Linked DNA regions of Drosophila melanogaster. The protein of the gene in region 3 interacts with the protein of the main gene of each other region in a pairwise test. Each region holds a gene or a part of one and is shown on either strand. Other genes may lie near its edges.

The links.
Region 1: the proteins of CG4730 (region 3) and CG13775 interact in a two-hybrid assay, tested with the Drosophila melanogaster proteins (one large-scale study listed by BioGRID).
Region 2: the proteins of CG4730 (region 3) and CG14011 interact in a two-hybrid assay, tested with the Drosophila melanogaster proteins (one large-scale study listed by BioGRID).
Region 4: the proteins of CG4730 (region 3) and Acp62F interact in a two-hybrid assay, tested with the Drosophila melanogaster proteins (one large-scale study listed by BioGRID).

What each region holds. Positions count from the first base shown.
Region 1 is NT_033779.5:6,953,857-6,962,888, forward strand, and holds CG13775 (uncharacterized protein), read right to left. Parts: upstream 3,095-9,032; 5' UTR 3,017-3,094; coding exon 2,762-3,016; intron 2,488-2,761; exon of another isoform or gene 2,452-2,487; intron 2,364-2,451; coding exon 1,401-2,363; intron 1,347-1,400; coding exon 729-1,346; 3' UTR 599-728; coding exon of another isoform or gene 537-598; 3' UTR 501-536; downstream 1-500. Other genes in the region: SA1 (stromalin 1), read left to right, coding at 1-471, 537-598; CG3430 (uncharacterized protein), read left to right, coding at 3,242-4,431, 4,490-4,733, 4,800-5,183; Atac1 (Ada2a-containing complex component 1), read right to left, coding at 5,327-6,397; Hmgcl (3-Hydroxymethyl-3-methylglutaryl-CoA lyase), read left to right, coding at 6,587-6,631, 6,691-7,617; sip2 (septin interacting protein 2), read right to left, coding at 7,735-7,974, 8,039-9,032.
Region 2 is NT_033779.5:5,577,507-5,585,223, forward strand, and holds CG14011 (uncharacterized protein), read right to left. Parts: upstream 3,611-7,717; 5' UTR 3,460-3,610; intron 3,405-3,459; exon of another isoform or gene 3,397-3,404; 5' UTR 3,386-3,396; coding exon 2,219-3,385; 3' UTR 2,074-2,218; downstream 1-2,073.
Region 3 is NT_033777.3:25,674,714-25,682,622, forward strand, and holds CG4730 (uncharacterized protein), read right to left. Parts: upstream 3,970-7,909; 5' UTR 3,883-3,969; exon of another isoform or gene 3,872-3,882; intron 3,835-3,871; exon of another isoform or gene 3,825-3,834; coding exon 2,815-3,824; intron 2,754-2,814; coding exon 2,585-2,753; 3' UTR 2,359-2,584; downstream 1-2,358. Other genes in the region: Lgr3 (Leucine-rich repeat-containing G protein-coupled receptor 3), read left to right, coding at 774-845, 965-1,408, 1,457-1,731, 1,791-2,317; CG5039 (uncharacterized protein), read left to right, coding at 4,064-4,186, 4,260-4,445, 4,501-4,527; CG4743 (uncharacterized protein), read right to left, coding at 4,653-4,767, 4,880-5,295, 5,359-5,625, 5,678-5,773; Idh3g (isocitrate dehydrogenase (NAD(+)) 3 non-catalytic subunit gamma), read left to right, coding at 6,254-6,310, 6,408-6,485, 6,553-7,332, 7,392-7,578, 7,643-7,718.
Region 4 is NT_037436.4:2,736,712-2,743,476, reverse strand, and holds Acp62F (accessory gland protein 62F), read right to left. Parts: upstream 3,728-6,765; 5' UTR 3,705-3,727; coding exon 3,357-3,704; 3' UTR 3,249-3,356; downstream 1-3,248.

The DNA.
Region 1 (9,032 bases), on a different chromosome or scaffold from region 3:
TCGCTATGACGCTCCTTTTGAGCCTGATCACAGTCTTTAAGAGTCTGCAGGAGCAGAGTGAGGATGGCATAGTTTCAAAGAGTTCGCAAGAGTTTGTGGACCTCAAGGAGTTGGCCAAGCGATTTGCGCTCACATTTGGTTTCGATGCCATCAAGAATCGCGAATCTGTGGCCGCCATTCATCGTGGTGGCATTTATTTCGCTGCGAACAAGGAGCCAGATGATCCGGTGCGGGCTCCAACTCGCTTGCTCTTCCTGGAGGTTTTGAACGAGTTCAACTACAAGCTACTGAAGCAAGACAAGAAGGTCATAATGAGCTTTCTGGACAAGATAATACCACCCGCAATGCCATCCAGCCGAGCTGAGGAATGGCAGCCGCTGATATTATATCGCAATTCCTTGCTACATGGCGAAACTGATCAAGCGCCCGTCGCCAGCAAACGAGCCTACACACGTAAACGTCGAGATCATGGTAAGAATTTCATAGCTTTCATTTTATTTAGAATCAACATTATGAAAAACATGTTTTTAATTTAGATGAAGAAGAGGAGGAGGAGGAAGACGAAGAGGAACACAATGATCCTGATTACAGGGGCTAGGACCCATCAGGCAATCAGCCATACACGCGGCTTAAGTGCAAAATCTAATTTTCCGGAAAATCAAGTAGTTGTAAGATTAAAGCTAATATTATGTACATAAATACGTTTAAATTATATAAATTACTGTATCCTAATTGATTTCCGAATTGCTAAAGCTAAAGTTGGCCTTCATGAGCAACATTTTGGATGCACTTTCGGGGCTCAAGCCCGCCTGCATGTCGAAATACAAGTGCGTTGATTTTCTAAATAAGCCTTCACTAACCACACTTGCTGCTGGTGCTGATAAGAATTTCCTAACAATGCCATACAAGGATATGTATTTTATGTTGCTCCTCCACCAAATCAGGGGATCCATGTTCCTATCGATTCTGGGTTCGGAGTTGTATAGATATAGCAGATTCTTAATCTGAGACTGGGAGCCCATTGACGTATTTGGCTGTTGAGTGTTCGTCGTTCCAGTTGTCAGTATGCTATCCAGAATGCTATCGATCTTTGATTCATTCTTCTGGGACGATGTGGATGACACTTTGATTATTTTCAGCGGTGGCTGACCATTGCAATCCTCTGGCACTCCAGCGAGCTGAAGCAGAACTTCATTGGCCACCAACTGCTCCTCACGTTCGGTGAAAAATGCTTGCTTATATCTCGGATCCAAATATGTGGCCATCAAAAAGTTGATGTCGCTAGTGATGTGGGCGAACTTCATTTCCAGTTCTTCAAGCAACTTTCTGGCGAAACTGCATATAGTCTAGACATTCGAAATATTAGACAATACTTTATGGTTTTATCTACTGCAACTTACCACAGATGAGACAAAGTTATGGACATCTGTTCGGAGGGAATCCCGTAAAGCGGCAACCAGCGGGATTACGGATGAGGTGGTCGTAGATGGATTGCTCCATATCTTGATTGTTTCTTCACAAGGCTGCATTACTTTGCTGCACAAATCGATCTCTATCCATTCATCTGGATATATTTGGACCAGACTATACTCTTCGCAGTACAAGGATAGAGCATCTTTCATTCGAAACACGCTGCTCATCATCTGAAAAGCGGAATTCCATTGACAGGGATCGTAAGGTGTAAGTGTGCACGGGTCTCGCGTCAAGCGGATCTCTTGAATGAATTTCAGATGATCGTTGGCCATCTTAGACGACGCAAAATGGTCAACTATTTGCTTGCACTTGGATGAAAGGTTCTGCAGTAATTCGTTCGATTGCAAAGCAAATCGAACGCACATCTGCAGGCGGTGCACACTGCAATCGGGCAGGGAACCTGGCAGCGCCGTCATCTCGTCCCTGATTACGCAGTGTATCTTCTCTTTGGGCACCTCAATGGCCAAGCTGGGCACAAGATCTCGAATGCAACAAGCTAGCTTCGAAGTGCTTTCGTAATTCAGAGCCTCGCATTTCAGCATTAGGCGGTGAGTCTGAAAATCCCTTGATATTCCGGAGCAGGACAAGCTCAGCAGTCCTTCGCCTTTGTCACCACGCCAGAGACTCGTAGACAACGATATGGCATCCAGCAGATCCACCTGTTGCTTCAAATGCTGATGCATTTTCCTTTGTATATCCTCGCACAGTATCTTCTCATAGTAGCTCCTTGGTTGAATCGTGTACCGCGGCTGCAGCGTCCTAATGAAATTTACGAATCCTGGTCCTTCAATGAACTCAAAGGAGTGATTTAGTAGCATGAGGGCCAACTTCTCATCACAGCGTTTGCTGTAGGATATATCCTCGGTGTCCAATGGATCTGAATCTGTTTCCTAAAATGATTAATAGAATAATTTAATGCATCAGATTAGTGAAAAACGCATAATTTATAAAAATATAATACTAAGACCATAACAGTACATTTTTAAAACCTCCTTAACTACACTTTATAAACACAACACATGTTTGCCGATCTAGCCAAACGCGGATAAAAATCCGCATCCGCTGTTGCTATATTAGTAAAAAGTTTTAAATAAGAGAAGGCATAAATTACTTTATGAACTACCAAAGAAACTATATTTGAATGGAAACTTAAGTTTGGGGAAACCATCTCCACATGACAGAATATCTAGAAGGGCATGTACCCCGATTTCACATAAGGTACACTTCTTGCACAGTACATATGCATGTACATAGGTATGTATGCACATCTATATGCTATCCCACTTACGTGCAGATTCAATTCTAGCTGGGCTGTGGGGTGCTGTGGCGAACCGATGGAGATCTCGCTCTTAACCAGGTCCAGGTACTTTATGTCCCCGGATAGAGATAGGAACTCCGGTGGGTGCTTGCTCTTCAGATGATTCCGCAGACATGTTGTGCCGCGTCCTCGCCTCGAGTAGTTCCTGTTGCACAGCAGACAGGTGGCCACTGTGCCGGATGTCTTGTAGAAGTACTGCCACACATTGCTTTTCTTCTTGCTCATCGCTGCAATTCTTTGGTAATTCTCAAATTGTACATTTTTTGCGGATGTCCACATCCGCCTCTACATCCGTTCTGCGGCAGAGTTCGACATCCCTGGCAGATATCGATAGGCCCATCGATGACCATCACTAATATGCTGCAATCAGTTTTTGGCGCGCCAAAGCAGCTGTTGTTTTTTGCATTCGAGGTTTTTGAGGCATTTGCAAATTCATTCGTTAACTAGATAATGCCCTGTGCGATGGAGCTGCCCAGCACGCCCGATGAACTGGCCGCCCAGCAAGCGGACAGCGCTGCACTCAAGGACTTGCTCAAGGATCCCAGTCGTTGGCACTCGATTCCCCTGCTCAACTACACGCCTCTTCACAAGCTGAAGGATCAGACTCTGGTGCGCTTTCGTGGAATGATCCAGGACATGATGGACCCAGAAATCTATCTGGAGCGCTACGAAGTGAAATCCGCCGACGGCAGCAAACGTGTACAGGAAGGAAAGTACAGGGACTGCTTGAAAATAGCCAATGGCGAAGTGATTGACTACAACGCCGATGGAAACGTGCATGGAGAGAGGCGTACCATGTTCGTGGTCTCTGTGCCTGGTCTGAACGATTGGAGCAAGGAGCATGAGAAGCTGTGCTGTCCCCAGATCGATTTGGCCAGTCTGGGTCAATCTCCCAGTTCAGCCAAGAAGCGGACTATTGTAGGCGAAGAAGAAGCCATGGATGTGGACGTTGCGAGCGAAACAACGTTCAAGCGACCCTGCCTAAAAGAGATTCAAAAAGATAGCGAGCCAGTCGGCGCCTCCAAATCCTCTGTTCTTGGGTCTGATTACCTGATTAACTCGCCTCTGCCGGATCGTCCCAGCATGGCATGCATGGTAAAGGTTTACGAGGAGTTCGATACCTACCAGCTTAACTCGCTGGTCGACTTTGTGGGCTTTCTGTCAGTGGATGCTTCACTAGACGCCGCTACCCTGGAAATAGACGATTGTGAAAACTTGAGTGAACTGCAGGCAGCTCATCCATCGCCATTTCTTATACCCCGCCTGCATGCCTTCGGAGTCCAGGTGCTGCCGCATGCCAATCCGCTGCTGGACAAAAGCCTTCGACAGCCAACGGAAATATGTGAGGAGACGTATCCAACCCACCTTGCTGTGCACAAAGATCTGCGCATGCTTCTTAAACTCTGCCTCTTTGATGACGATCTGGCTGCCGAGTATTTGCTCTCCCACCTAATATCTACGGTCTACAGTCGTTCTGAGATGCAGAGCATCGGCAAGTTCGCCCTTAACCTTTGTAATCTCCCTAAGAATTGTGAGGCGTATGCAACCAAGTTGTATCAAATTCTGGAGCTGCTACTGCCGGCCAGCCATTACATGCCCATGACTCTCGTCACACTAAACACGGCAGCCTTTGCCCCAAAGTAAGTTGGCTAAGCAGAAATAGTATAAAATTGAATACCTATTAATGAGTACTTGCAGGAAGGATTATGAGACAAACAAGCTGGTTTCCGGCGTACTACAGTTGGCTCCCCATACGCATTTGGTGCTCGACGAGACGTGCATGCAACAGGGCAAGCTGGAGGCCAATGGTGTTCATGCCGTTCAGCATTTAGCGCACTTGATCAATAATCAGGAACTGAAGTGCGACTTTCAGTATTACCAAATAGACTACCAAGCAAATATTCCAGTTCTCGTGCTCAGTGAAGGGCGAAGTATGTTGCCGGTAAGAATATAAGTTTATATAAATAATCATTATATCCAATAGAAACTATTAATGATATGTTTTCAGAGCGATTTTGTGCTGCCCATTAATGCCGATTCTAAGGCCGTGGAACTTGTTGATGAATCTCTAAAGGCAGCCCACCACTATCTGCAGCCATCACGTCTGCAGCAGTTTCGCAAGTACTTGACCACAGCGCGCACTAGCGGCTTCAACGTGAGCGAGGAGCACACTGAAATGATCCAGCAGGATTTCGTGGACATGCGTAAAGCTAATGTCAAAAGTAATGCCGATGATCTGCATGGATTGCTGGTCCTCTCACGGCTGCTGGGCATCGCCCGGGGGAAGGATACGTTGGACAAAGAAACATGGCAGCTGGCTACGGAGTTCGAAGCAAAGCGTCGCCAGCGTATTCAATCTCTGCCGAAATCATCTGCCCAATTGCGCAATTAAGAGGGCCTCTCTTTTATACCATTTAATATTAAGTTTTTATAAATAAAATAGAATTTTTTAAAATTATTCTCTTTATATTTAATTTGTAGCTTTACAGGCAAGTCTAGTAATTTAGTACTCAAGTAAATGGGACTCTAGGAGCGTCATGACTCTTGGTCCACTACAACTTCATGACTTAAATGCTCGAAACGCCCTTCGATTAGCTGACTGGCCAGGCAATCTCCGCACAGATTAAGGTAACAATAACAACTGTTACAACGCCATTGGGTCCTGGTCACAGATGCCTCTTCGCACTCGGCACACTTGGCGGCCAGCAAGTCTGGCTCATATCCGTCCTCCATTTCCCGTTTCTCGTCCTGAATGGCTGATAGAAGCTTAAGGCATAGTTCCTGTTTTCGCTTTGACTCCGCATTCAGATCGGCATCCATGTACTCGGATTCGATCTTTGGTTCGATCTTGGATGCCGGCATAAGGAGCATATCGCTCGCAGGCGATGGGATTCGCAGGTCGTCAAATGTGAAATCGTCCTCTGGCATTTGTAGCGATATATTATGAGCGGGGAAGAAGGTTGACTTGCGAAGTTTGATCTTCGGCTTACTCAAACCAGGACGTCGATGCTTGGGTATGCGACCGGGCACAGGCATTCCGGCATCGTGCAGCTTTTGGAAATACTTCTGGACACGACTATACACTTGCTGTGCCGTTCTGTTGCCCAAGGCCTTCGCTATCTTCCCGAATCTGCGCATTTCCACTTCCTCTGGCGGATACTGGATGAGCAGCTGCTCCAAGCGACTCTGCTCTTCGTTGGTCCACAAGCGATTGAAATTCTCCGACCGTCCATTGCTCCTGTCCCGATTCTTGTTCGCCTCTTGCGTCCATGAAGACGCATCGGTCGGTGTCTCATTTGTGCCCCCTTCCTCGTCATTGGGCGACAGAGTTGGCAAGTCCGGTAGAACGGTCGTGGTGATGTAATTATCCGCTATCAAAGGCTCGTTGTTTCGCAGTTTGTCCAGCATATGTTGCGGATTCTCCAAGTAGATATTTTGTGTGGCTTCCAATTCCTCAATCTGCTGATGCACCCGAATCCTTTGTGCCTGCAGCACGGCCAAAGTGCGCAGCAAATTGGTATAGCACTGGTTGCCACGCAGGGCCAGGTGCTCGGTCTCAAAGTGAAACACATCCTCATCTTCTGCAGATATCTCTGCTATTTCCATTACAAAGAATTAGCACCAAATACCCGTTTGTATACAAAAAATGTGTTTACGCCTCTGCGCTAGAGATGGCAGCTCATTAAGCAAAACAGTTATCGAAATTTAGCAACATATCGATCTTGGATCATTATCAGCTGTTATCAGCGAAAAAAGAAGAAGCGGAATACGTAACGTTTATTTACAAATTTAGCAATGATAAGTGCACCAATTCGCTCTATCCTTGCACTTACAGCAAAGGTAATTTCACGGAAAATCGAACGCACTTGACAATATTTTAATAATTTTAAAACTAACAGCGCACGGCGGTTACAAGCGCGGCCAATCAGGTGCGAATTGTGGAGGTTGGACCGCGGGATGGTCTTCAAAACGAGCCCAAACTCCTGCCGGCAGCCACCAAGATCGAGCTGATCAACCAATTGTCCGAAACAGGACTGCGAACCATAGAAGCCACCAGCTTTGTGAGCGCCAAATGGGTGCCACAGATGGGCGACAATGCCGAAGTGCTGAAAGGAATCCGCAAAGTGACTGGTATAAGCTATCCAGTCCTCACGCCTAATCTGAAGGGATTCGAGAGTGCTCTGGAGGCGGGAGCCGAGGAGGTGGCAGTCTTTGGAGCCGCATCTGATGCGTTTTCGCTGAAGAACGTTAATTGCACGGCAGCTGAGGCCATCGAACGATTTAAACCTGTGCTGAAAGCAGCCCAAAAGCATGGTGTGCGCGTCCGGGGCTACGTTTCCACCGTGGTTGGCTGCCCGTACGAGGGTGCTGTTGCGCCGAGTGCTGTCGTCAAAGTGGTGGAAGCCCTGTACCAAATGGGCTGCTATGAGATCTCATTGGGCGACACCATTGGTGTGGGCACTCCAGGCACAATGCGCCGAATGCTGGATGAGGTGACCAAGGTCGTCCCGGCTAAAGATCTGGCCGTGCACTGCCACGACACTTATGGTCAGGCTCTGAGCAACATACTGGTCTCACTGGACTATGGCATTCGGGTGGTGGACTCTTCCGTTTCTGGCTTGGGCGGATGTCCTTACGCCAAGGGGGCGTCAGGCAACGCAGCCACCGAGGATGTGGTCTACTTACTGCACGGCATGGGCCTCGATACTGGCGTCAACCTAGACAAACTGATCCAAGTGGGGCGGTACATCTGCACCGAACTGGGCAGAACCTCAGAGTCCAAGGTTAATCGAGCGTGGAAGGGACCGCAGGCGCGAGTTAAGTGATGATGCAAGCATTGATACTATCAAACGAAAACGAAGGCATTTACTAGCACTAGTTACACAATACATTTATTATCGTTGCAATATTTAGTCAAGGAGCGTGAAGTACTTTTATGGGCCTTAAAACTTTTGGGCATCTCTTATTGTGTATAAGGACACGTCGCCTGAGGCGAGCGACAGATCAGCCAGGCTGTGATTGGCGCGTCGTGGGATATGCGAAGACGACGGATTGCGGACTGCCTCGCCGGGCATTTTCATTTTGCCATCGTGGCGCATAACAGTAGGCTCCACGGCGGAGTTGAGGTATTTTTGAATTTGAGGTACCTTCGGCATGGGCAAAGGAGTTCGTTCATCAACCACCTGTTCAATGGAAGGTATTAGTTTACGTTCACTCATCATGGCTTATATATAAATTTAAACTTACATGCTTGATTTCGGAAGATATGTAAGCCTTTTTGGGAAGCAGATCAGCGGCTGAATCGATTCCATTGATAATTAAAGATTCCGCTTCACTGGACTTGGGTGTTTCGTCCTTTGTTGCGAAAAGTGCTTTAGGATGACACAAGCGAGACTCCTGCTCCAACTCACTGATGGCCAGTGTAGATAGCATATCAGAACTCGTTGGACGGAATGTACTCATTAGCGGAGCAGTACCAGACTTCTGGGTGTAGGTGCGTATGGGACTGACTATGTTGGCGTATGGCTGCTTTATCTGATTTTGGCGACGCTGAGGAATACCAGAGGCTGCACTGAAAAATTTCTTTTTGGTCCACTCCATGGTGAGGCCGACATTGAGCGGCTTTCTACCCGTGCTAGATGAACCTACAACTGTTTGTGGCTGATTAGATGACCGCAGCGGAATTGATGGCTGCAAAAAGGCTACAGCCGGTGATTTTGGTTCCGGCTTCGGTGAAACAACGAACGTGCTTTGTTTGGTCTTGGGCAGCACAGGGCAATCTGCCTTGACTGCGGCGACTGAAGGAGCCCCACCTGCCATGTACTCCATACCCTTTTGCATCATGTACTCCATTTCTTCCATGGTATCATTGAAATGCAACGAATTTTCCTTATTTTCAACGCTCTTCTCCGCTGGTTTCTGCTCAGTGTGATCTTTTCCGTGGACTGAGGACACACGGGACGTGTCTTCTTGTTTTACTTCTGGAACTAGCTGCACTTCTTCATCGTCAGAAGAGGATAGCTCGATTATTGTATCCTCTATATCGTCCTCTTCCTCCTCGACCTCATCCTTCGGAAGTGAGGCCAGCTCTCTAAGACTGCCATGAAGATCGCTTAAGAGCTCCAGCTCCTCTCCCTTGGACATTCCTGGTGGCTTGGCCTTGGCAATTGCGGCGTAAAACAATTCGTCGACGTTTAGGAGCGTTCCACTGAGGGAAGTATCCGTGGCTGTTTCGTAAGAA
Region 2 (7,717 bases), on a different chromosome or scaffold from region 3:
ATTTATTGTACTTAACAAGCTTAATAGCCAGTTAGTTACATATTTAAATTATTAAAAATATAACATGACTACACATCAAGCCCACGAGTAACACGACCTCTTGACTTTTTCACCACACCTCTTCTGTTAACTTAAACGAGGATATTTCGACCAGCAAAAAATCCCTTTCAACCAAGAGAAATTTGCTCTTTTCGATGTGCATGTGTGTGTAAAAGAGCACTAATTCATTATACAAGTAAACTGATTATTATATATATTAGTACAAATTAGGTTAAGCAATTTGTTATTCGATTTTGTATCATTTAAAAAGTCTGTCTTATATAAAATTTTTGATTTTTCAAAAAACATTTTATAAAGTTGAATTTGTCCATCAAATTCCACTTAAAGTTGATTCAACCTATAGCATTTTTGTCACTTCAAACAATGCTTGCGGATATATATAATCATTCAATTTAGTGAACGTGCTGTTTGAAAGAGTGACTAATCTTTTTTACCAGATTTCCTGTCCAGCAATCTGCTAACAATGCGTTTAGACAACGTGTTGCCGTGGCATCCACAACGTTAATTATTGCTTGGGATGTAAAAGGGGGAGCAGCAGGAGGAAGAAGAGGAGCTGATGGAGGAGCTGGAGCTGGAGCTATGAGTTCGAAAGGGAGTCAATATGTTTGCTTGTTTTTCGACGGCAACACGCGCGACGATGACGTCGGAGTGCAGCCTGCCTGGAAGCCGGAAAATTCGGGAAATTCAACCGGCTAACCAGCAGAAAACAAGCTGGCAAATAAAAACCGCACCAAAACACGGAGGAGCGCCAAAAGAGCCCAAAGCGCAGATCCAAAGCTACGGTGTACGGAAGTGGGCAAAGGTAGATGGGTACATGGGAAAGCCCGTGGAAATACGGGGAAAAGCTGGAGTGTCGAGCAGCCTGCATGGGTTCGAATTCAATATGGCGGCACAGAGGAAGTGCCACAGACGCAGTGGCATGTGCATCTGTGCATCTGTGCGTGCCAGTGGGCTCTCTCATTGAACCAACAGCTTGTGGCGTCAATTTGCGGACATTATTGTTTCACGACTGCCAACTGCGTAACGACCAGCGAGGCCTAAGCAAATCTGCCCGTAAACTCACCGCAATCATGGGATAACAGCTTTTCGACCGGGCATCTCTGGCTATTGTTTTTCGATGCAGCTGCATTAAAAACAAATGCAGCAGCAGCAGGTCAGCAGGTGGCTATCTAATTTTTGATTATTCGCGCGATTTGTGCGAAAAAATTAATTGAGGCCTGCGGTTTTGTTTTCTTGCGCGGCATTATTGCTGCTTTTGCACCCATTATTCATTTTGTGTGCGCTCGAAGTCGAGAAATTCGATTGGGAATCGAAATAATTTGGCATAATGAATGCGCTTCGTTACCGGCATTTTCCATTATACTAATATTTGAAATACGAGCAAAACACCACAAAAATATACTCGTTTGCTATTGAGACAAAAAGTGTATCATGTGCTCACATTGTTGTGAGTGAAAATTTGAGAAATATATAGCAGTAGTGTATAAAATGTTATTTCATTAAATATACAGACATATTCAATCATCTTTGCAATCTTGAGCAAAGCGATGCAAGTAATGGATATCTTATAGTCGATGTAACTATATCTCTCTACCTCTTGCCTTTACTATGGAAATTTCACATAAATTGTTGCATTGTAAATGCATTTGAACACTTTGAGACTGAATATAGACATATATCGCCTAGACGGTCAAATTGGATATATATGATTTATAGCATTTGCTAATGATGATGAGCATGTGTACCGTCGGGGGCATGCAACATCTCCTTTGTGGGGTCAGCTTAATGCAGCTCATTAACGGACCACCGACTCTCCTTGTATGATTGTGTAGCGGTAAACTGAATGCTTTTGACCCACTAATGAGCAAGTGGCCACTAACTGCTAAGAGCTAGTAAACTGATCATCTTTAAGGTGCAAACTGTTCTACATATTCACTTATGGAAATTTATCAAAATTACAATTATCTAAGGCTTACTATGACTTTAGAAAACTAAACCAAGAAACATTCTTTTCGGGTATTTAATAGTGCTAAATAAATAAATATGGTTACACTTGTTAAAACTTTGGTTTCACAGGGCGAGCTAACTCTCACCTTTTAGGCAGCCTGTCCAGGCCATACACTTCTCCCCACCTCCGACCATTTCAAATCCGACCAGCTTAATTCACCCACTGCTTGGGGTTTATAAAGATGTCGGAAACGGTGCCGCGCAGCGACTTCATTCCCTGGCTGGAGGGGACGGGCTTGGGCCTCTGGGCCACGTTGCTCATCCACCGACTGAAGGCCTCTTCCGCCTGCGAGCGGCGGGCGGCCTTCTCCTCCTGGCGCCGCCGCTCGGCATTCCGCTGCTCGAGGCGACGCTGTTCGAGCAGCCTAAGCTTGTGCAGCTCCCACTCCTGCAGGTGATGTTGCACAGACGCCATATTCTTTTGCGGCGGCAGCTGGGCAGAACGGTCGGGCTTGGTGAGCTTGGCGGTACTGGTGGTCTGCTGCGCCTTCTGCTGACACCACTGCTCGTACTTCTCCTTGGCGAGCCGCTGCCTCAGCTCCGTTCGCTGCCGCTGCGCCTCTCTCTCGGCCTGCTGCGCCTGCAACTTGTACTGGCACTGGCGTTGCTTGCCGGACAGCCAGTTCTCGTAGGCCTCACCGGCGGACCGCCGGATATGGAGCGGTTCGATGCGGCGGGTGTAGGTAAGGGGCGGCGATCCTACGCTCGATCCCAGGCGCAGCGAGGGCAGGCTGTGGCTTAGTGGCAACTCGAGCGGGGCCAGCATGCTGTCGTCCCGGGACATGGCCTCCTCCCAGCTGCACATCGAGGTCGTCGAGTCCTTGTCGCTGGAATTGTTGCCGCTGCGGGAAGAGGGGCAGGATCGGCTGCTGCAGCTACTCCGGTCCGTGCTGGTGCTACTGCTGGGACTGCCCAGATGCAGGCAGACCGTCTCCGACTCCGTCTGCAGCTCGATATCCTCTCCCAGTTCACCGACGCGGGGCCCCTCAATTGTCTTGGTCGACTTCAGGGTGCCCAGGGACAAATCCGAGCAGCAGCGCAGAGTGGAGGTCTCCGTCTCGTCCAATGAGTTGACTTCACTGGACGACTCGGAGCTGCCCACGTAGCGCACTGTGCTGGGGCTACCCATAGAGCGCACGAGGCTGTCCTTGTCACAGGTCTTGATGAAAGTCCTGGAACCCTTTCTTCGCGGTAGCAGTACACGAGCCCCCATCTCTCTGGCTTGGCCATCTGAATCCTGCTGGCTGGGCTGGGTCATGCAGAATAGTTCATGGTCGATAAGGGTTCCCTGACTGTTGACTTTGCCCAGAAATGCCATTTTGCAGTGCTCTTCTTTCCTAGGATTCCTCTTCTGAGTACAGATAGTAATCTTTATGGGGCAGATGAACCTACCTTCTTGTGTAGCCAATATTCAAATTCAATACGTCGTCAGGGACGATTTATGGAACACCTTGCTGGCTTCAGAACCGATAAACTTTGAAGTCTATGAAAAGTGTTTAAGTTTGTGTGTTGGAATAGCGAACAATAAACTTTTTCGTTTCTTGACATAAAACTCAAATGAGATGAATAGTCTTAGGTTCATTTTCCCCTTTTCGTTTAAATGTGAATGAATACGACATACCCTTGATTGCATGGGTATGTCCTACATATCCTTGCACCACCCTTTCGACGGCTGCCACCCTTCTCAGCTCAGGACAATGTAATGAAATGGTTGTCTACCGCACGCTTTGCGCTGCATAACATTTAGGTTTCAATTTCTATTAATATGCAATTTAGCTCTTTTTTCCTATTATAATTCTACGTCTGTGGCACACAGCTCCCCCACTCAAGCCCGGGTCCACGGATTGCCGATCGGGCCGCGCACAACTTGATTGCAGCAGCTGAAGTTGCCGCGAACGGTTGTTGCTCTTACATTCTAATCGAAATTTTTATTGTTCATAGTCACGAAAGTGCGCGGCTCTGGAGCGATGACGACAACACGGCGTCGTCTGCGGTGGTGCAGTGGCTCACCGGCTCTACAAGCCGGGTGGAGGTGGTGCGGTGGTGCAGCTGTGGCGGCAAGGTAATGTCAGTTATTTGACAGCGCCGACAGTCGAGTACGCTGCCGTGGCAGACATGCCACACTGCCTCACTGCTACATCACATCGGCTGCTCAAAGCCAGAGGCTGATCTTGGGGGGGATTAAGGGGGCCCTATTTCAGTTGGGTTTCAACTCCACTAACCTTTTTTATATATCAGCCGAAAAACTAGCTGCCCCCAAAAAAGTATATGCTGCCACTGCCACTGGTGCTCAGGTATGATTTCTAGTCGCGATGTTTAAAAGCTAAGCCAAATATGTGCCACTTTGGCATAAAAATTGCCGTGCAGGCCCTCCCACCACGCCCCCTCAGCCTATGACCACATCCGAAAAACAAAAGCGGAAAAGTGGAAAATCAGAAGCAGCAGACGTCGTTGGAAATGCAACCGGCATTATTTTATAATTTACAAACAAGTCGCACGAATGTAGCGACATTTGCAACAGGATTTGCCTTCATCGACAGCCAACGCAGATGGCCGTCCTCGAAACATGAATTTCCATTAGCGGTAGATGTATTTCACAAAACTTTTATTGATAGAAATCGAAATCGGTACCCTAAGGTACATTTACTCGAAACGCATAATTTTGTAAGAAATTTTTGGAACGTTAATGGAAAGATTGTACAATCTCATTGATTACATGGTGTGCTAGGGAAGTAGTGAAATAAACGGCTTGACTATCACATACCTGTCAATTATCAAATCGATTTCAATTCCAAGCTGAGTAAATTCTTAACTTAAAATTAATACATTTTTCGTGTCATTGTGTTCCCACATGATTTGTGAAAATTTCTACCATTATTGCCCTAAACTTAAACGAACCACTTTTGCCACAGACGTTGGATCGGTCTTTGGCCAACTTTTCTTGCTCAGTGCTTTCACTTTCAGGCCAGTCGTGCAATTAATAGGAAAACCCCATTAATGTCCTCCTCACCTCCTTTGCAAGCCAGACAAGAAGTCAGTCAAGGAGGCAGTGAGCTGAGCCCGAAAGGCGGCTGGAATATGACTTATTTAAGTCGGAGCCGCGTGTTAATAACTTTGCAAGCCTCGCCAGGCATGCAAACTTCAACCATGTGAGTGTCCTTCGTTGGATTTTCGCCTCCTTGCTGGCTCTTCTGCGTGTGGCAGGCAGATTAAAGTGACAGACAGGGCTACGCAGGCAAAATAACAAAAGGTGGTTAAGTCGTTGTAAGTGTTTAAGTCGACAAGGGGAGGTCGGCCGCCCAAGGACGAGGCTCGATGCGTGTTTATAGCGCTGTGAAATGAACAACATTTTGCAAGGTGATTTACCAGTTATTAGATTTTTCAACCCAAAGTGGCTAGGCTGGCTTATTGCGCTTGCCGCGCACCGACTGCCTACCTACCATTTCCTTGGGGAATACAGCTGCTCCTTTACCTTTTTATAATCCTGCAAAGTTTTTATTTGATTGCGACAAATATTCGCATCTCATGTCGCAAAAGAACAGAGCCGAGCAGAATGTCAAAGGCATTTGAGCAAAACAATTGCTGGGCCAAAAGTTTTTGCTCACAACTTTTGAACTATGCCTGATTAAATAAAAGCCCGAAAAGAAGTTGAGCTCAGTTGTGCTGGTAAAGATAGTCATATTGCATAAGTAAATATGCGAAATTGTTGTTTGAGAAGTGTTTATGCCATCTAGCGCATTCCTTTGGACTTTACATCTCACTCAACGCCTGGAACTTGGAACTATTAGTCAAACTTCCGGACTTCCATACCCTTTTCATAGGGTATTTCCGGTTTTACAGCAAATTTAACTTTAATATGCTTTTTTGCGTAGATGTTTAGAATGTGCTAAGATTTGGTCGACATTTCCAGAGAAGAACGACTCTTTGCAAGTCTAAATATTTGATTGAATTAAAACGTACCGCTTGGCCGTGCATTTAAAACTTTGTCGGCTTTTAATAAATTTACGTAATTTCCAGAGAGAGACAGAGCTGGCCTGAAGTAAGCCACACAACTTTGCAGAGCAACTTTGGCACATTTCTTAATTAGCTTTATGAGTTTGCTGCGAAGCACCTGGCGAAATTCCCATGCGTGCGGTCAGTCAGGTGGCCAGCCTAGTCCCAAAACTTTGCTCGGCTGTGAAAATATTATGCAAAAATAATATTAAAACTTTGCGTATGATGCCCCATTGTTCAACTTTGTATTGCGACCAGTTCGGCGTGTGAGGAATACCACTTGACTGGAAGGCGATGGAATGTGATGCTATCAATGGCAGTGGCAACAATGGCCAATTTGTAGAGAGATCCTTGAGCCGCATAAATTATACCTTGCCCCCTAATTGGGCCGGTCTTCGGATGAAAATGACGACGACAACGCCAAACGGCGACACTTGAAATCAAAATTCACGACATGGGTAGGGGAAATCGCTAGGAAATGTCAGTCCGCTGTCCATAGTCCGTCGACATTGGGCGTAAAGCGAAAGGCAGCAAGGCGTAACATGCGATAAAATTGAGTTGGAGACGTGTCTCAAATCTAAAATTAACAAACTGCCCCAGTCAGTCAGGCCAGTCAGTCAGCCCAGTCACCGAGTCAGCGAGTCACCGAGTTAGCCGGATCCGTCCTTTCCCGGCCAAATGTCCTGCGACACAGCCCAGCCTGCATGTAAATGAGTTTTTAATGATGTCCACGTTCGCCATCGTCCACCGTCTGCGTTCAAATCCACTCCACTCCGTCCCTCGATTTTCCGCTCTACTCCCTCGCCGTTGCGAGTTGCTCTTTCGAGTGTCATAGTTTGCCTAATTGCTGACATAATTTTGCCGGTTTTTTGCCTCTGCCCTTTAATAGTTTTTTTTTTTGTCCACCGTTCAGCTATTGGTTTCATGTAAATGCGGGCCTGATTAGCGACAGTCATGAATTTCAATTTGCTCCTTAATTAATTGTTGATTTAAAATTCTTGCGTGCCAATGGAGCTGCACAACCTGGACGCATATAATCTTGGGGCTTCAGCTCAAGGTTTTTTCTTCAATTCAAAAGGGGCAATTACTCGATATGGTCGCTATTGGATTACAATAGTGTCAGGACTTGCGAAAGTATTGGATTTAGGAAAGGTCGTTCGAAATACACATACATTGAGCTGCCATTGAACAGCGCGACCATTTTTGCATAAGAAAAGCTCAATCTTTCATGGCCGTTCACAAAGATAAAGCGGAATAAAAAGGGCCAGTTCATAGATAAACTCGCGCTTCAGTGGCAGAAAAAAGAAGATATATTGCCAGGTGTTTAGTGGTAAAAACAATGAAGCGCCCCCACCATCCTAACAACTGCGCCAAGGTGGACTGCTCGCTGTGCCCATAAATAATGCATTGGAAAAAGGGGAGTCAGGTCCGTCCGACCATTGAATGCTCGACAAAGGCAGGTGCAAAGTTAAGGAAAGCTGGAAGAGGTCAGCGTATCCGTCGATGCCGAGTTTTATGCTCACACAATGGACCAGATATTTATCAAACTGATGTCGTGCGATCAATAACGTGGGCGGCTGGAGAGGATTGCCTCGAGTGGATGGATTATGAGTGAGTGATGTTTGAGGATGTTCAACATGGGTCTGGAAGCTACTGA
Region 3 (7,909 bases):
CAGCCACCAATTACCAACTTGGTGGGCTCCTTGGTGGGAGTGGGTGGTCGTGGGTGGTGGGCATGGCCATTGTCTTTGGGCGACAAACCATAAAAACAAACTGTTAACAGTTGGCGCTCGGGCATTGATTGACCAGACAAGTGCAAGCAATGGAGCTCAGCGTCAGTATCCACTGTCTCACACACATCCACAAAAGCATCTTCATCAGATTCAGTTCCTCAGATCTCGCATCAGCTGCTGCGATTCCCATGGACGTGACACGGTGGAGCGGTGGAGAAAACATCATCATAATAATAATAAAGCCGAATAACTTTCTCCACACGTAGTGTGTGTCAATAAATCGGTTGTTTCTCGCAGAGTTTGAAAGGAAACTTTTAGAGTTCTTAAACAAAGAATGTGGTTTTGGAACCACTGTGCCGCATCCTGTCTGCCATGAATGATGCGTCCTTTCCTGCCAGCACATAAAGCCCCGGCCAGTTGCATCTATTCCACACACTGATAGACAATGTTTGTGCACTGATTTATACTCAGCCAGCTATTAAATAAGAATTTTCGTTATTACGCTGCCGGGGATTTTATTATGTGACTTTCAAAAGCCCCCGCCAACTTGTTGTGGCTTTGGCTTAAAGCCGCGCCAAGCTGAAAATTGTTATTTTAACCTTTTAAAGTCAGCTTTATCAGCACCAAATGCAGGGCCATTATGCGTGGCCCACGCGGCGTATGAGCAACGTTAAATCTGCGAATAATTCAAAGACGTGCGTTTCTTTTTACAGCCGCCTTGTCGGTAATCCCATTAAGGAGTTATCTGGCGAAACATTTTTGCACAACACTCGACTGGAGGCACTGTGAGTATACTTTGTTTGTTTTAATTTAAAAAATCACAAAATATATCATGAAGTTGTTAAAACGGGATTGAATTTGATTTGAATATATGATTTCATTTAATTTCTCACCAATATTTAAGTTCGTTGGCCCTAATGCCGATTCACATCAGCAGCAGTTTAATGGAGCCACTGAATATATCGTTTTTGAATCTCACGGGAATTCGGTATGATCACATCGACTTCGAGGCCATCAATTCAATGCGCAACCTGACGTACATCATCTACGATCGATTCTTCTACTGCTCAATGACGCCGCGGGTGAGAATGTGCAAGCCGTCCACCGATGGAGTCAGCTCCTTTCAAGATCTTCTGAGCAAACCAGTGTTACGTTACTCCGCCTGGGTGATGGCCACGTTGACAATAGCTGGAAATGTGCTAGTCCTATGGGGACGCTTTATCTACCGCGATGAGAATGTGGCTGTGACAATGGTGATTCGGAATCTGGCTCTGGCTGATATGCTGATGGGCTTCTATTTGGTCACCATTGGAGTGCAGGACTATCGCTACCGCAACGAGTATTACAAGTAAGTCAAATGTGATGGATTGGCATTTGTTACGCCCCAATCTTTTAGGGTTGTGCTGGACTGGATAACCTCGTGGCAGTGCACACTGATTGGAACGCTGGCCGTGAGCTCCTCGGAGGTTTCGATGCTTATCCTGGCTTTTATGTCGCTGGAGCGGTTTCTCTTGATCGCCGATCCCTTTCGCGGCCATCGCAGCATTGGAAATCGGGTGATGTGGCTGGCTTTGATTTGCATTTGGATTACGGGCGTGGGCTTGGCTGTGGCACCGGTGCTCCTGTGGCGGACCAGTACCCTACCCTACTACGGATCCTATTCCGGAACCTGTGAGCACAATGTTTATGATAAAATGTAGTTTACCAAGTGACGAAATTAAACTTAACAGGCTTTCCATTGCACATCCACGAGGCCTTCCCGATGGGCTGGCTTTACTCGGCTTTCGTGTTCCTGGGCGTCAATCTGCTGCTGCTGGTGATGATTGCGATGCTCTACACGGCACTCCTTATTTCGATATGGCGAACGAGGAGCGCCACTCCGCTCACTCTGTTGGATTGCGAATTCGCTGTGCGATTCTTTTTCATCGTGCTGACCGACTTCCTGTGCTGGGTGCCCATCATCGTTATGAAGATCTGGGTTTTTTTCAACTACAATATCTCCGATGACATCTACGCCTGGTTGGTGGTCTTTGTGCTGCCACTTAACTCGGCGGTTAATCCTCTCTTGTACACCTTCACCACGCCCAAGTACCGAAATCAAATCTTCCTTCGCGGCTGGAAGAAGATAACTTCTAGAAAGCGAGCGGAGGCTGGCAATGGAAATGTGGCCACCACAACGACGGGCACGGCAACTGGATCCTCTCAGCATCCGGATGACTTCACGATCTTTGCCAAAGCCGCGATGAGATGCCATTAGGTCCTAACGCTGTCGAACTGAAGGATTCTTGTGGCGCAGATCGAACTTGTATACCACCAGATTTAGCAGCATTTATTTTGTCTATGATATCGAAAATCTATATATGTATGTGAATATCTATCCCTGTCCGTGTAAGATAACCAAATGAAAGTGTGAAATAAATTGAATGTGATATTTGTAAGGCAATTTTACGGAATTTAAAATGGGATGCGAGTTAGTGTAAGATTAAGCTATTATCTAAGTTTTGGTAATAGTTTTAAATACTTTTTATTTAGAAATAGCAGCGCTATCATTTTTGGCATGGTGTGATTCTTTCTGGTCCGAGTAAATCTTTGCCATTACCAACTTGGAGCGCACGATGTGAAACTTTCGCATTTCCTCCAGGTCCTCCATCTGCACCACCATGTTATGCTTACGCTCCAGGTGCATGCGTAGTCTAAAAAATTATTAAGGAGTGTTACTTTCAAATAATGTACACTTTAAACAAAATAACTAACTTGTTACGAGCTGGATAGCTCTGATGGCAGTGGGCGCACTCAAATGGCATGGCCGTATGCGTGCACTCGTGATTCCTGAGAGATGAAGATGAGGTAAAGGACTTCTGGCAGCCGGGAAACTCGCAAATGAAGCGAGATCCAGAGTGCTTAACCTGCTGGTGGACAGTCAAATGGGATCGCTGTGCGAAACGACGATCACAGAGATCACAGGAATAGGGAAAGTCTCTGTTATGATAGCGTTTATGAATCTCCAGGGCTTTGGCAATGGCAAAAACCTTGCCGCATGTGTCGCAGTGGACTCCAGACTGCCTGTGCTTCGAATCGACGTGAACTTTCAGCGCCTGCTTTGTGAGGTAAACCCGGTCGCACTGGCTGCAACGAAAGTTGGGACGATTGGCCAAATGAATCATCTGGTGCTTGGCCATGCGGGAATGGTTCCTGAACTCCTTGTGGCAGAACTTGCAGTTGGATTTTCCCGTATGCCGATTGCGTGGCACAATGTCCTCTAAGCTGTCGATAGGGGTTTCCTGCTTCTCCTCAATCTCTTCCATCAGGAACTCTTCATTCATATCCGCCTCATTCTCCTCATCCTCCACGTCGTCTTCCTGTTCCGTGTTGGCTTCGGTTGCCACAAATATCTCCCTCAACTGCTGATTGGCAATGGCCATTTTCTTGTGGAAGTCGTAGGCCCATTTCAGTTCCACCGCACAACGTTTGCACAAGGTTCGTGGCTCGTTTTTGGGATTTTGCCGCAGGTCTTCCTTGGTGCAGATCTCGTAGCAGTCGTAGTAACTCAGCGCCGCCTCCTGGTCATAGATGACGGTCATGTCCAGCATTTGGTTGGGATACGGCTCCTCCAAACACAAGCGGCAGCAATTGCTCAGCTCCAAAGAAGTAGTACTGTCTGAAAGTGAGACTTCATGGGATACAAGCTTCACGGGAGCTTCTGCAGTTCGCCTTGCTATTGTAAAATTAAGCGTTTGGCATACTTTTGATGTTTGGGGATCCATCTGTGCAAAGCTTATTTTGATCAAATTGAAAAGATTACTCAGATTACCTAATAAATACTTCTTTGTTTACAGTTGAAAATCCCCGCTCTTAGCCATAAATGTGAAGAAAAACTAAACATAGCTGTGCTAGGGTTGCCACCTATTTCACGAGAGGTCTGGCAGCACTTGGGAGCGCTGAAATTTTTGAGAACTTTTTGCTTCGTAGTTGTTGTGATTTCTTTGTACATCCCCTGAAAACGATGAAGTTACTTGAGCCTCAGACGACCATTAGTCCTGAACCGGACATACTGCATCCGGACGACGGTCAATACATATGGCTGCCAATTTCCGTGCTCGTTGGCATTTTCGTTCTGGCTGCACTGGTGCGTTATCGCCACAGTCTGTTTGTTTAAGTGGATGTACATTTGTTTAATTTATGCATTTGGGTGTACACAGGTCTACGCCATGTCACGTAGTCGCTGTCGGAATTCCTGGGATTGCCTAAAGAGCAGGAAGGCTCCGCGAAGTGGATACATCAATGTGGATGAGGAGGATTCCGATGTGCCCATGGACTGCGGAGATGAACTGGGAGATCAAAGGACTACTGCTACTCTCCTCACTGGTCGCCTCCACATTCAGGATGTCAGTGAGCTCGTGACAATGTCCCAATACAATCACAGCCCTTTTTCTTCCACAGGGAGCGAATAACGCCTCCAATGCCTAGTGAATCTCAAAAGTCTTCCATACACTTTATTGTCCACGTTGTCTTCAAACGGTGGTTGTCATCGGTTTAGTTACTACTGCAAACTACGTGCCTCTACTACAAGTACAACGAAAATAACCCTAATTTTAATGATCCGTACTGGTGGCGCCAAGGATTCGCGTCGTCAGGTCGTAGAAGCCAAAGAAGAATGCACCGCCCAGTGTGATCCACAGCACACGCGGCACAAAGCCAGCAAACAGACTGAAAAGTAACATCGAAGTACATTAATAAATGTAATAAATAGTTTTGTAAAGTTAATTTGTGTTTAAATATTAGGACCAGCTTGAGTTGCGTCTAATATGGAAATAATTACCCGCTGAAGCCTCGCTCCAGGTAAATGCCATGCAAAATTCTTCGGGCACTGCGACGTCGGTTGAGACTCTCCCTTTCAGCCAGCATAATTCGGGTTTTGACCACATCGAGCGGCGTAGTTAATCCCGCTGAAATGCCTCCAGCGACAGCTCCACAAAGAGCCACCGAAAAAGGAGTGGAATCGAAGCCGGTCAGGGGAGTCCATTGCAGCTTAAAGTACTCCCAGAGCGGAAACTGTATCAGACTAAATGGAATCTCCCGCATGATAGTGGAACCAAATCCCCTGTACAGACCACGTTTCAATCCCTCAGTGCGATAGGCACGCAGTAGAATTTGCAGGCCGGACTGTTTGTTGCCCTGCAATGTTTGGGAGCGTTGCTTGGCAATCTCCACGGGAACTCGGATCAAGCATGCCAACTATTGGATACAGAGATTCTTCAGATCTAAATACGAGGTGCTCAGTTTTATATGAAATCCTACCACTTCTGCTGCTGAAGCCGCTGCCATGTGAACATAGGGTGAATCTTTGGTTTGGGTGACCGAACTAAGGAACTGCTTTCCGCACTCGTAGGTGCAGAAAAACAGGGCCGCCGTGGGAGCACTTCCTGCAGCCGCAGGAGCGAGTCCTTTGTAGATGCCCCTGAATCCTCCTGCCCGCCAAAAGCCCAGCTCGCTTTGCAGTCGGGTCTTCACTGTATCTATGGGAAACAGCGCTATGTCCACTACCATTCCAGCCACTCCTCCTGCCTAAAACTAATTATTTAAGAACTAACTTTTCATTTAATTTTCATCTACTTACAACAAGTGCATGGAAAAATTTTAATTTATTGACCGGCTCTTGCATTTTGATTGCCACGGACCCCGCGGCCGATTCCAGACCCAATTCCGCTGCCATGTCCTAGAAATGATGTTGGGGCATCCACTTTAAGTCATCCCGTCGGAGTATTAACTAAAGTTGTTTTAGTAAACAAAAACATAAAATGTGGTTGTTAACGTAACAGTCAGCTGCTTTTTGCTGATCTGGCAGGTCTGCAGATAACAGCTGCTTGGTGTAGAGTTGCCAAGATGCTGAAACCATAACAAATAAATATATTCTATGTAAGATATATATTATTTGGTCAAAAGTGTTACTTAAAAAAAGGATGGTATTGAAATGTTAGCTTTTTCACAAAAACACATAATTATAATACATTTTTTTTACACCAAAGTAATTATTTTAAAACCAATACCATTTACTTGACAACCCTGAAAAGCCGTGGTTCTGGGCAAGAGCCAGCAGCACCGTTTTGGCCAAGTGGAATAAAATTGGCTGTGATTTAACTGATAGTAGAATACCAACTGCAGCGGTAGAAAACAATAATCCAAGGATCAAATCATGGCCCTTCGCTTGACCCAGAGATTGCTGCAGACGCAGACGCCGTTCCTCACTCGCGTAAGTTTTCTCGGCCGGAAAATTGGCCCACAAAGGCAAATTACATAATGCGCGCCTGCCAGATCCTATTGATCGTACTTATCGATTCGAATTGTAGGGCTATCCCTTGCTGGTGACCAAGGAGAAGACCGAGGATGTGGCCCACACCAAATCGGCGCTGCAGAAGAAAGTCACGGTGAGTGCAACCTCTGGAGCTCACCCCCAATTGAGGTTATAGCATCCGTATATATCTTCGTGAACAGGGCACCGATATTCCCTCGGCACAGTACGGAGGTCGTCATGCCGTCACCATGCTGCCGGGCGGCGGCATTGGTCCTGAACTGATGGGCTATGTGCGCGAGATCTTCCGGTATTGCGGTGCACCCATCGATTTCGAGGTGATCGACATCGATCCCTCCACCGAGGGCAACGATGATCTGGACTATGCCATCACATCGATTAAGAGGAACGGAGTGGCACTCAAGGGCAACATCGAGACCAAGTCCCAATCCTTGACCGAAGTCTCCCGCAACGTGGCCATCCGTAACGAGCTGGATCTGTACGTCAATGTGGTGCACTGCAAGTCGTATCCGGGCATTCCGGCCCGCCATCACGACATTGACGTGGTGCTCATCCGCCAAAACACCGATGGCGAGTACGCCATGTTGGAACATGAGTCTGTGCCCGGAATTGTGGAGAGCATGAAAGTGGTGACCGTCGAGAATGCCGAGCGTGTGGCCCGCTACGCCTTTGAGTTCGCCCGCCAAAACAATCGCAAGAAGGTTACCACCATTCACAAGGCCAACATCATGAAGCTGTCCGATGGTCTCTTCCTGGAGGTTGCCAACCGTGTGCACAAGGACTATCCCGAACTGGAGCACAACAACATGATTATCGACAACACCTGCATGCAGTCCGTGTCGAATCCTCACCAGTTCGACGTGATGAACATGACCAATCTGTACGGCACCATCGTGTCCAATGTTCTTTGCGGTTTGATGGGCGGAGCTGGCCTCATATCCGGCAGGAACTACGGTGACCATGTAAGTCTCTTTCTCTTTTGCTTAACCCATAGTCTTTCAGTTTTGTCATATAATTTTAGTACGCCATCTTTGAGCCTGGCACCCGTAACACCGGAACCGCCATTGCCGGCAAGAATATCGCCAACCCTGTGGCCATGATCAGTGCCAGTATCGATATGTTGAACCATCTGGGCCACAAGGAGCACGCCAATGTCATTCAGGAGGCCGTCTACCAGACCATTGTCAACGATGCCATTCGCACGCCAGGTGATCACGTCTCTCGTAGTTATTCAATAAACAGAATCACCTTTATCATCTAAATCTCTTACAGATATTGGCGGCACCAACTCCAGTACCGATGTGGTTGAGAATATACTCAAGATCTTGAGTGCCAAGCGCGTGAATTGGTAAAATAATCGTCTGCATTTAGAGTAGTTCTATATGTTCTTTTATTTCGCTGTCACAACCAAGTGTTGTATTTTCTATTAAGTTTTAAGCAAACAAACATCTATCGCTTGTCCCCTTTTACTTCACTGTCGCGATGGGCCCAGCGTAGGCGGGCCTTCTTGTATTATAATTTCATGCTGTTATTGTATTA
Region 4 (6,765 bases), on a different chromosome or scaffold from region 3:
ATTCTTTGTAGTTTTATCATGCAAATGCCTAAAATTTATTAATCACTGTTTGCACAAATGTTCAACACTCAACGCGCTCGAATGTGTTTAGTTTTGTGTTTTTCGCCTGTTTGTGTGTTTGGTATTTTTAGCTTTGCCGGCCGGTTATTTTGCAAATTTTCAGATTAATTGAGGCAGTCCGCAAGGTGGGAGTTATTTGGAAAAGTGCGCCTTCAAGGTCCCGAAATATTCCAATTATCGACCACTTCTTTGTCTCCACCAGTTCGAACTTTTCAGTGAGCACTAAGTTTATATTATTTACGCGCCTCTAAGCCCAAGTGGAATAAATTAGAAAGAATAATGCTCGCCATATAGATATAGTATAAAACAATAAGACTTTGTCCGGCGTATATGTATCTTAATGACCCTCATTCTTTTGGCGGTGGAAAGGGGAAAATATCCGAGTAGCTGAGCTGCCAAGAAAAATAACATAAAAATTGCCGCAAAATATTTTCTAAATATTTGTATTTAGCGCAAGTTAAATAATCAGACAGATTACCAAAAACTGAACAACAGCACAAACTGCAGATCCAAAAGCGCCAGCTTTCGCTGTGCCAAATATATCTACGATTGTGGACACGAATTTAGAAACTAATTTTCCCACTTATTGCTTAAGTATTTTAAAACTGAGTTACTAGTCTGCTATATATTGTTAAAAATACGAAATGTTTTCCATGGGGTTACACGATTTAAACACCCACGCACCCACTTCTCTGCTATATATATATTTAAATGCATTTCCATGTGCAAAAGCAACAAACACCTGTAGCCGCGAATCGACAAGGTTGCTCCTGATTTAGCTGGTTTTCCCTGGCAACATTGCTAGCAAATGCGCTAAGCTCTCAATTTTTCATTCGACAATGTTGCAGTTGGGTGGCGTTTTCCGCCAGTGGGTGTGTGGGTGGCTCATTCACCTGCGCTGCACCTGTTTAGCCATTGAGCCGTTGAGTTCACGGTTCACTCAGCCAGGTAGCTTGTTGTCGTTTCGCTGGCAAACACGTAACTTTCAACATCAAACTTAAATTATGCAAATGTTTGCTCTAAGCGGGTGGGGAGAAGCGAGATTTCGGCAAAAAGGCGGGGCGAATCAAAGGGAAAAGTTAAAATGAGACGATGCAAATGGAAAAAGTGTGTACACAACACGAATTATGCAATGGTATATTTGCCCAAAAATTAAAAAAAAAAAGTTTAAATTGAAAAGTTTACAGAGCTGAATTAAATGTGGCCAAATTAGATGCATGCATTTCGAAGGCAATTACACTCGTTGCTTTGGTTTGCACACTGAAAGAAAAGGCGTACATGATATATAAAAGTATATTGAAGTGATTTATAAGAGCTATAGCAATAATTTGTGGGCCATGAAAAAAGAGACGTTTTCCTAAAAGAGTCGAAAGTATTGTTTCCAATGCACCAAGTGAAAAGAATATTTTTCAAAATATTTACTTATTTTACACAAATCTCCTGAGCTCTCTGAAATGGTTGCATTCAAGAATGGTATCTAACTAATTAAATTGACTCGACAACTGTCATGGAAAGTATTTGGCCAAGGACGATGCTCGCTTTAACCCCCTGTTGCCCCCTGTGGCTTCTTTTTCAGTTGCATTTCTTGCTTTTACGCTGCTAATTAATTTTCGAAGAGATACTCAGCACAAAGTCCCGCTGAGTTTTGTTTGCTTAGACCAAAATAGCTAAAAATATTCGTGGCACAAAAATAATTCAGTATTTATTTTGGCCGAAAATGACACATTTTTAGGAACTGTTGCGACTAATTGCTTTTGCGGACTGCCGGGGAATTCGCGGGTGCAAAGGTGACTGGGTGACAAATGCCCCAGAGTTCGCCATTGTGACAGATCCCAATGACGGTGATATACTCTGGGCTGACAGCTGCTGTTTGGATGCGCGGATGCTGCAGGCAGTCATTCAAGAAAATCGTGAAAAACCCCTAGTGACGTGCGAAAAGAGCAAGTGAAAAGTGAAAATTGGTATAAGCATAATGGCTGATATGGTTGCCTTGTTGTGACCAAATTTGGATGTTCTTCAACTACTAGAGTTTCTTAATGACAAAATGAAATAGCCCACAGAAGTCTTATAATTGGTTTGACCATTTTTCTTAAGCCCAGTTCAGCTGCGATTCGGATGGTGATGATGATAATGTTGTTTTTTTTTGTCCTCTTAGCCTTTGGCGTCATCGACAAGCGTCTTACCTGCTAGCACAATTAAGTTTTCGACACGTAAATGAATCATTCAAATGGCTTTTCTTTGCCTTTCTTTCTCCCTCTCACTCGCTCGCATTTTCATTTAAATCTCATGGCGGGGGCGAGCGTTGCGCATACGCCCCGTTGTACGGCCGTCGGCTCGTGTTGTGTGCAATTAATAAATTTAATTAAGAAATAATGCACAAGCCGCGATGCGAACGGGCGTCGTCGCCGTGGACGTCTTGTGTCGCTCTTTCAAGTGTGAAAATTATGATTATTTCTATATATCATTTTCGTTATTACGCGAAATTTAACATGCAAAATACAAGAGAATTATACCACGTCGGCGGCGCTTTAAAACTATTTGGCTTAAATCATAAATCAAAGTGTGCGCCGTTTGGTTGCTGGCCCACTAAGTTTTTAATTAAATCCCAATTGCAGCACCATGCATCACCGCGCCTAATCTGGCCAGCAAATACAAAGTATTCATTCTGTGCATTTATTGTTCAGCTCGAAAAGCATGTAGGAATAACACAGTTCTAAATAATTCACAGTGAAATTTCCGATGTGATTACCATATCGAATGTGTTCCGCGTTTCGCATGGATTGGTGCTGAAATCCCCATTTTTCTGTGTCCCCCAATTGCAGTCACATAGTTCCGCCCAAATGACCCGTAGCACACGAGACCGCTTGCCAAGAAATGCGTTTTCTTTCTCTTAATAGCCATTGTAATGGTCATGACTGTATGTGCGGGTGACGTGCGCTTCTGTGGCTGCCAGTGGGCACATGGCGGTCACAAACACAACCAGCCGCCTGGTAACAGTTGCACCGCCACATTTGCAGTGGCATTTCGGGCAAATGAGAAGTGGGCAGGACTTGGCTGGAAAACTGGGCAGCAGGTGGAATGAAGATTTCGAAAGTATTCTTATAGGTTGCTAGTACAGCAATACAAATTATATTTGCTATGCAACTTCGTTCCAGTTACGTAATTAGTGCAACTAACATTTCGGATTTCTTTTACTATTTGTAATTATCTTGTAATTATAGCTTGTAATTTACTACACATTTATTTACATTTTATTGTAATTTAGTTTAAAGTTTAGCTGCCTTCCTAATAAATTTCTATGAACAGTTGTAATTTCTGCTAAAGCACTTAAAGTTCGATACACCCAGTAGCATATCTTCCTTTCGAACAACATCTTTTGGGCAATCGGATCGCAGAACACAGGCCGGAATCCTCTCATTGATAACATATCCCGGCTTACACACACAAGGAGCTCCGCACATCTTGACGCAGGGTCCATTGCCGGAGTACTCGCAGGTTTCAGGACATGCTACAGGACACTCCGTCTGAGTTCCGTTGGCCGTACAGTCAACTTTAGGTCCTTGCCATCCCATGGAGTCGATGGGTTTGAAAAGTAATAGAAGGCCCAGACAGGCACAGATCTTCAAGCTCCACATGTCCGTCATTGTAGATGGGGAATACGTCTACCATTTTACCCTGATGTGTGCGCCCTATTTATTTCCATCCGTCTGATATTTTAGTATAGAAATTGAAATTAGATTTGCTACGCGATTTTGTTTCAGACCATTATACCATTTGTGTGACTTGCAGATATCAATGGAAAGACAATAAATCTTAAAAAAAAAAAAATAGTGTATTATGTTACTTAAAACAAAGGCGCGTCAGTGAGGGAAATATATTTAGTTTTCGTTGATCCTAGTATAAAATAAATGCTTTTTGGCAGCAGATTGTAGATTGTAGAACATTTTACAGCCTAATTAAACGATTAAGTACTATAAGTGTAGCCACTTTGATTTACTTCCCACCAGCGATTATTTTCGCTTAATCACTGTCAAAAACGAATATTGTGTTTCAAATTGATTCGTTTTGGCCTAAAGCCTTGAAATAGTTTTGAAACGGTTCGGCCAATTGAATAGAGACGCGAATCCTGCCAATTGACTAGCCCATCATGACTAGAATAACCAGACCCAGGAGTACCTCCTCAACCTGTCAGATTTCAGTTCATCGCATCGGGATGCCCAAGTGCCATGCCAAGATGCATAATTTCCCACATATTTTTTATATGGCTATAATATTTGGTTTTGCACTCTTGAGTCATCATTGCCGCCGACTTATTGCGAAACTATGCGAACTGCAAATTTCGCTGGCTATTTTTGCAGTTCTTATTGTTGGCATGCGCTGAGTGGCCAATAATATTTGCAATTATTTATTTCGCCTCTTGGGAGGGGGTGTGGAAGGTGGGGGGCTATTGCCAAACCGCTGAAATATGCGCCATGAATAATTCTCGGCGCACAGTGACTGCCTCCTCCCTCCGGCCCTCCTTGCTCTTCACCACCATGTGCGGAACGTGCGAAAAACTTTTATGTTCTAAAGATTCTGCAACTTTGAACTTTGGCGGCGACGCGGACATGACGACATAATTGCAATATGGCTAATGCAATCGCAATTGCGATCGCAAAGGCAAAACTCTTGCAACACACGCCCAACATTTGCTAGCAATTAATAAATTGAGTTCCCTTTTTTCGCTCTGGTCCCCGTATTTTGCCATGTTTATGAATGAAAATGCGCGCTTTCGTCTCAATTGGTGTCCAATAAATTGCAATCACACTCGTGCGAACACTAATTAGTTTGTAGATCAAAAATTATGATTAGCGACTAGCGCGCTGCAGCTGCTTTCGCGTTTTCGCAGCCTTGGAAAGTGCGTTGACCAACGCGGCGTATGCGCAATCAGTTGACAACCCACACACAAGCTCACAGTCTTGTTCTTGTGGCAACCAAAAGAAAATCGTTCTTCCTCCCATTCGGCTTCTGAATTCTGATTCTGCTTAGACAAATTACATTCGTCTATGCTCGCTGGCTTTATTGCTAATTATTTTTTCTTTTTGTATCTTTGCAGGTGAGTTTCCTTTGTGGCCAATCGATGGGAATCCATTCGAGAGTGAGATGTCATTTATGTTTAGTAAGAATTACAGTGCACTTTCGCAAATGAAAACCAGGAGTATTTTAAGAATTGTAACATTCAATTTGCACTTCATAACTGAGTGCTATTTAAAAAAGATATATTCATACTAGAGTGATCTTTTGAAACTCAAATATCTGAGTATAGGATTTGAAGGGTATTTCCAAATGTGGAATTTCAACTGTGTTCACTGTAATCTCCAGCTAACGAGGCCTTGTCTAATCGTTTCTCACCTCGTTCCCATATTGAATGTCCTTGGTTTCGCCGATTTGGGGGAAGGGTATGGCCACTGGAGGCATCCATGCAACATCACAACACAAACTTGACCGCCGACGCTGCCGAAAATATTGTTGTGCCTGCCATTAGTATTACTTTTTTCGGTGTTTTGGGAAAATGTTGACGTGCAAATTGCACGGCAAAAGTTTTCTCAATTTTCGTGTTCCTTTCTTTTTTTTTTTTTGCCGTCTGGAAAGAGTACGTCATTAGGAGGTACAAAATATTGCTGGCTATGCTGTTTATTTGTTTGTTTTACCAACGCGCGCTGTTTAATCGAAGGGGAAGGGAAGGGAAGGGCAAAGCCGATCCACGAATTCTCCGTTTTGCCATGAATTATTCATCCCTCGCTGGATGTGAGTGAGTGTATGTGTGTGTGCGTCTTGCTTATTTCAGTGTTTCATGCATAATTAAGCATTTCTGCAATTAAATGTGTGCGTGCGATTGTGCGGGTTCCAAAACTCAAACCCCAAACCCCAAAACCCTTTGAACTAACCAAACTTTATCATGGCACTCGATATTTATCCATTAACTTTGCAAAGTCCCAAGGATAAGCGTCAAATGGGATTTATCTTGACATTTTAAATGCCTTTGCTTTGTTTTGTTACTTTAACTCCTTTTACTAAATTTAAAAGATCCCATACTAAGAAACACAAAGAGTGTCACCTTGTGCATCTTATTAATAAATATGTTTAAACTATAATCACATTATTTGTATATTTCGTAATGTTTACCCAATAACTTAGAGATGCAAATCCTTGGGATTTCCTTTAAATTAACTACAAACAGGAAGAAAACAAAAATATCGTATGATTCGCACACAAATAATGCGGGACTTTAAATTGCTAGAATCTTGATGATTTTATCTAGATTTTTCCTGTTGCCACTTGGATACAAACTTATGGTGTTGTGATAAAAACTCAACAAAACAATGAAAATATTTAGCCCTGAATTGTTTGCCAAAAAATGTTCATTTTCATCTCCTTTATGCTTCGTTTTTTTTTTTTTTTTTTTTGCTTTCTTTTTGTAGTTTTTATTCTTGCCTGCTTATTATGCCTTGTTTTTTTTTTCGCCCATTCTAGCATTTTGCGTTGCCTTATTTTGTTTTGCCGGCAACAATAGAATAGCAGGCAACAACAATGCAAATTGAACGTAGCAAACTAAACATAACACACAGGCAGCCGCCTGCCTGCCTGTGTCCGACTTTTTACACAGATGTGTATATATATAGTACACTATATGTATATAGTATTTTTCACACAATAATGTGTAGA